2 linked regions of the Drosophila melanogaster genome follow. The protein of the gene in region 1 interacts with the protein of each later gene in a pairwise test. Each region holds a gene or a part of one and is shown on either strand. Other genes may lie near its edges.

Region 1 (3,490 bases):
GGAAACTTAATTCCCGTCTGTTTGTGGTGCGCGGGAAGCCCGCAGAGGTTTTTCCCCGTATTTTTAAGAGTTGGCGCGTGGAAATGCTAACTTTTGAGACAGATATCGAGCCGTACTCCGTGACCCGGGATGCTGCCGTGCAGAAGTTGGCCAAGGCAGAGGGTGTGAGAGTGGAAACTCATTGCTCCCACACGATTTATAATCCGGAATTAGTAATAGCGAAGAATCTTGGCAAGGCTCCAATTACCTATCAAAAGTTCCTGGGCATTGTGGAGCAACTAAAGGTACCTAAAGTTCTAGGGGTTCCTGAAAAGCTTAAAAACATGCCTACACCACCCAAAGATGAGGTGGAGCAAAAGGATTCGGCGGCCTATGATTGTCCTACGATGAAGCAATTAGTAAAACGCCCGGAGGAACTGGGCCCTAATAAGTTTCCGGGAGGTAAAAACATAGTTAAACTCTTGATCACAACTACAACAATGTGGATTTCTTTTTATCAAACAGGCGAAACAGAGGCACTGCGCCGCATGGAGGAATCCCTAAAGGATGAAATTTGGGTTGCCCGCTTTGAGAAGCCCAACACGGCACCCAACTCGCTGGAGCCTAGCACTACCGTACTAAGCCCTTACCTCAAATTTGGATGCCTTAGTGCCCGACTGTTCAATCAAAAGCTCAAGGAAATTATCAAACGCCAGCCGAAGCACTCGCAGCCGCCCGTTTCGCTCATTGGACAACTCATGTGGAGGGAATTTTACTACACAGTGGCGGCTGCGGAACCCAATTTCGATCGAATGTTGGGCAATGTATACTGCATGCAAATTCCGTGGCAGGAGCATCCAGATCACTTGGAGGCCTGGACACACGGACGCACAGGATATCCTTTCATCGACGCCATCATGCGTCAGCTGCGCCAGGAGGGTTGGATCCATCATCTGGCCCGGCATGCAGTGGCATGTTTCTTAACGCGCGGAGACCTCTGGATCAGTTGGGAGGAGGGACAGCGGGTGTTCGAGCAGCTGCTGCTGGATCAGGACTGGGCACTAAACGCTGGCAACTGGATGTGGCTATCTGCGTCCGCTTTCTTTCACCAGTATTTTCGCGTCTACAGTCCGGTGGCGTTTGGCAAGAAAACGGATCCCCAAGGGCACTATATCAGGAAGTATGTGCCGGAACTCTCAAAATATCCTGCTGGCTGTATTTATGAGCCCTGGAAGGCGTCGCTGGTGGATCAGCGGGCATACGGCTGCGTCCTCGGCACGGATTATCCCCACCGGATTGTTAAACACGAAGTGGTGCACAAGGAGAACATTAAGAGAATGGGCGCCGCCTACAAAGTAAATCGGGAGGTGCGCACTGGCAAGGAGGAGGAGTCGTCTTTCGAGGAGAAATCAGAAACCTCCACGTCTGGCAAGCGGAAGGTGCGAAGGGCAACCGGAAGTGCCCCTAAGCGAAAACGTTAAAACCTAAAATTTGTTCGCTACCTTATGTAAAAGGTAGTTAGATCTACGGAGTGAGCTAATATGAATTAAGGATGGAAGAATTGTTTTATGTACTATTTTAGGTATAAATCTATAAACTTCTTGATTGTTACCCTACCGAAATTTAGGTATAAAACGAGTATATAGTATTTGTTGGAATTGGAATTGGAATTGGAATGTTCGAGTTGTCAATAGGTATAAGAGGGTGACAAAAGAATATGTTTAAACGCTTGTGTACTTCACATAAAATGCACCAATAAAGATATTGATACGGCGATAGTGATTTCATTTATATTTCAATTTCAGTAATTATCAGTAACCAGTGTAGCCTGGCCTTTAACTTCCTTCACAATCGAGATTTGTCAGTTGTCGGGTTTAGCTGGGAATTTTAGTCATATCTAAAATTTCGGCAACATAAGACCTTCCAATTTTTGTTTGTAAATAAGAACGTTTTTTAAATTTAACTTCGGTTTTTGTTCTGTTGGGTAGTTAGTTTCCGCACTCGAAACACCGACAAAAACCATGTTTCGCAATCTTTCGATGCTGAGGAATCAGCTGGCGCTGCACCGTGTCCGTGTGGCCCGCTCGACCTTGCACTCCAAAATGTCTACTGGTCTTACTTGCCTCACCATTGACCGTCCGCGGAACATCGATGGCGTGACCGTGATAGATATCAATATAAATGAGATGGCCAAGACTGACGTAGAGTTTAATCGCAATTTCGTCAATTCGCTGACATTGATGGACCATACTCCATTCAAAGAGGTGACCAACATAGTGGACGCGGATGCAGTTGAGTCGCCACCAGCAGAGAATCCGATTTCTGGAGATACCGTGGAGATCCTGCCTACTGGCGCACCTAGTTCCGTCGTAGGCGTCGACGGCAACCCCATTGTCCCCATCGAGATTGATGGCTGGAACCAGGACGAGGAGGATCCCACCGTGCAAAAGAACGTCCAGGACGTGGACATTGGTAACGATGACGAGTACAAGGCCGAGATGGAGCTGCGGGTGCCGGAGGTCAGGGAAGGTCGAACCGAGTACAAGGGCATCAAGGTGACGTTGCCGGAATCGGCCAACCAGGATGTCGGCACTTATCGCTTCCGCCGCGATCCAAAGGATCTGGAGGAGGTCGGCGACGACACGCGCCTGGTTCGATACGACAAGTAGAAAAACTGGTTCCAAAATTCTTAAGGATTTTTTTGGACGACTTCCGCTTGCGACTATTCCAATTTTTTAGCGTATTCAATAGGTTTTCGGTAAAAGGAAGCACTAGCATTGATGTAATAAAAAAAAACATATTTATATGTTCAGTTAATAGAAATTTTACTTTTTTCTTTGCTTCATTAATCTGTAAACTAAAATTTAGCCTTATTGCCTGATCTAGATAGAAATGCGACCATATGGACTCGCATCCGCAATCTGCAAAATTGCAAATTTGTCCAAAGTTCGATTGACGATTATGATGCGGACATGGCCACTAAGAACTGTCAGTTGGCAACCGGTCATGCTTTAATGAAAACCCAACTAGAGACCGCGACCACTATTTTAACCCACCCATGCCACATGCCGCATGCCCCATACCCCATGCCCCGCGCCTACATCCACATCCACTCTCCATATCACAAAAGATCGCTTTGTGGTCAGTGGCAACCGAATCCGGGGCAAACACTTCCCATAAATTGCATTAAAAGCGGGCCAGGAGCGAAAACTACTCGCAACAATGCAGCCGGACATAAACACGCTGCAAAATGTTTGTAGGCTCTAAACCAAAATTGAATTTGCGGTTTTGCCTGCGGGGCGTGGCAGTGGGCGTGGGTGTGGCCGTGGGCGTAGCTGTTGGCGTAGGCATTTAGTCGGCGGCCGGTGGTGTGACAGTATCTGTGCAGGTGGGGGCCGGCCAAATAACTGTAAATGAAGCTAAAATGTGGTCAGCCGAATTGTGGATGCAATAAAAATGGCCACGGGCTCTGCGAAATGAAAGTATGGTCAACGAGATTGATTATAATCAA
Region 2 (3,020 bases), about 18 Mb from region 1:
CGGCATTGTTGAAATATTTGCAAGAGTGTCCAAATACGGCCAACGATTCGTTGATTAACAAATTATGATTTATTAAACGGCCTTATGCAAATGCAACGAATGCAGGATGTGAGAGGTGACAAAGCGGAGGAAGTGCCAGATGAATGATAAACTGATAAAAAAAAAAATGAATTAATTGGCAATTAATTACGGATTCATTAAACGAGTCAAATATCATCGAAATAAAATGTATTTGCGCGCACACTTAAATCGCTCGAATGTCAGTGCCAAAGTATTTCTTTGGCAACATTTTAAAGCCGAGTGTCGGAAGGGCCGGGAAAATTTAATGTGATTTATGTCGGACCGAATTGTATGCATAAATAACGCACTCGAATTATTATTAAATGCGAAGGACAAACTTGTTTTCATAAATATCAAATTACGTACATTGCAGCATATTTTCCCATTAAACAAATACACCAATCGCCAACAGACTGGCCAAATTGCTTTGTCCGCCAAAAACATGTTTTTGTGTTCCACCTGACTTTGTAGCCACTGAAAAGCGAGTGTGTTTGCTGGTTGCATATTGCAGATTGCAAAAACATTTGTAAATGTTTCAGCTTTAGTTTGGTGAGCGAGAGTCAACAGCCAAACAGGATCAAGGACTCTGGTTCTGGCTGTGACTCCGAGTCCTGTTGGATTGGAGTTGGGATATTTGTGTTGCTTTTTTTTATGTTCGCCCACCGTGCAAAACTAACTATTTATTCAACAAATATGCAATAAAATGCATAGTCGGTCTTCACATTTTCCCGCCCATTTCCAGCCCCATTTAACGCAGTTAGAAGCGCATTTTCCGCATTTTCAATTCTCCGGCATTGCATGACAAATTGCATTTGAGGTTTTTCACATGGACATTGATTTAATTACCAAATGAATTTCCTTGCCGGCCAAAAGTCGAATAAGAAGTTTAATTTCCCCCAAGTCTGGCCAGCAATTTGCATATACACTGGCCAAATCCTTTTACGTATCTGTATGTCCGCCTGCCCTCTGCCCGTTTGAGTAATTTCATTATGAGTTTTAAGACTTTTAATTAATTTAAAAAGTGAACAATTTTGCACTCTTTTTCATAACAACTCCGGCCGGAGTCCGCATTGCATTCCGTAGTCCTCAGTAGTCCGGCTTTTGTCTGGCGTAGTCTGGACGAACCGGAAGAGTGGCATAATTTCCGCACCGCCTCGAACTTGATGCAAACATTTCATCTGCATCTGCATTTCGAGTGGTCCGGAGAGCAGGAGCCAGAACAGGAACAGAATCGGAATCGGAATCCGGATCAGGAGCCAAGGCAGGGGCACTGGCAGCATCAACAGCATTCAATTAATTTTCCGTACTTCTGCCATCCACAAAAGCGAAACTTTTGCAGTCCGACATCCGGCATTGTTGCCAACTTGAATGCTTATTTACGGACACAACAGCGCCAGAATCTCCCGGATTATGCCGAACATCATAAAACTTGTATCGACTCGTTAAACTGGCAAATGAAATGAACCCGACAGATGACAAAGCAGCCTCAATTATACGGATATCAAATGGAAATATGCAAAGTTAGTTGTAATATGGGGAATATTTCTTAGTATTAAACTATTGTGAACTATGCTAACGAGTAGTCTGATTAAATTTGAAAATATATTTAGTGAAGTGAGTGAGTTACTTCAAGTATGCCCGGAGCTTTCATTCATTTGCATGTATGGTTGTATTGTAGTAGCAGAACGAACACCTTCTTTGCATCGAAATTTCTCTAATAAGGTAATCGAATAGACGCAAGGATGTCCGCCGAAGTGGAGGAACTATTGAAGCGCTTTCAGTCCATGAAGAACGTCACCGGCATAGTTGTGGTGGACAACGACGGCATTCCGATCAAAACGACCCTGGACTACACTCTGACACTCCACTACGCGGCACTGATGCAAACGGTGCGGGAGAAGGCTCGCCAGGTGGTCCTGGATCTGGACGCCACCAACGAATTCACCTTCCTGCGGCTGCGGACTGAGCAGAATGAGGTGATGCTGTGCCCGCAGGAAGATTACTTCATCATGGTGATCCAGAGCCCGTGCGACTAGAGCACAATATTCCAGGCCCAAGCTCATTCCGCTGGCAATTATTTTCAGGCAGAGTGTTCAGTAAATGTTATTAAAATACTCGGCATAGTCTCGATTTCGCACACCAGCATTTCGTCATTAATAGCATTCAGTTGCAAATTATTTGCATTGGGAATCGCAATTGAATTGGAATGTCACTTGCGTGCGGAGCACTCTTATTCGATATGCATCCTTTGGCCCGCATGCATACATATACGATATGCATGGATCCTTTACCCCACGAAACCCGGCATCCTGTCCGGGCAAACTCATTTACAATAAATGAAGACTGACTGAGGCAGCCACGAAACAAATAAACTTTTTTGCGGCCTCGCCAGGATGCGAGCATGTAGGGATACGGATGCCACGGCCACCGAAGTGGAGGTTCCTCCTCTGGGCTTTGCTATTTTTCATTTAATTAAATATTTTACATGCAAAGTGCATTATGAGCAGTGGGCGAGGCAAAAACCAAGCAGATAACTTGGTAAAGTCACACGGGCGCCTCTCGGGAGGCCAGGACATCGATGCCAATCCATCTATCCACCGGTGCAGGACGAAACTATTCACTCGAGATAACTTCATGAACAGTTGTGGCAGGATATAGAGCACTACTGTCGCAGCCATCAATTCGAGACACCGCAAAAGGGGGGCAGAAAAGTGGATAAGTTATTTTTCACCTCGATCCTAGAGCCTTAACTTCATTAGCCTAATGACTAAATGCACTTTACCATGATCTACATCGATGTAGCTATTTTCTGCAGCTGCTTTTCCTGTTTCCTTACTGTTAGAGATGTTAATTGATTTTTTTTATAAACCTGTTCTTATTTATAGTTGTATTACCTTGGATTGGATCCTAGGATCATGTTTTCTTTATAAAATTTCCTTTTGACAATTGTAAATTAAATC

What was found.
Region 2: the proteins of CG17470 (region 1) and robl22E interact in a two-hybrid assay, tested with the Drosophila melanogaster proteins (one large-scale study listed by BioGRID).

What each region holds. Positions count from the first base shown.
Region 1 is NT_033779.5:20,641,615-20,645,104, reverse strand, and holds CG17470 (uncharacterized protein), read left to right. Parts: upstream 1-1,860; 5' UTR 1,861-2,000; coding exon 2,001-2,648; 3' UTR 2,649-2,799; downstream 2,800-3,490. Other genes in the region: phr6-4 ((6-4)-photolyase), read left to right, coding at 1-441, 505-1,460.
Region 2 is NT_033779.5:2,289,405-2,292,424, reverse strand, and holds robl22E (robl22E), read left to right. Parts: upstream 1-1,686; 5' UTR 1,687-1,721; intron 1,722-1,726; exon of another isoform or gene 1,727-1,782; 5' UTR 1,783-1,802; coding exon 1,803-2,096; 3' UTR 2,097-2,201; downstream 2,202-3,020.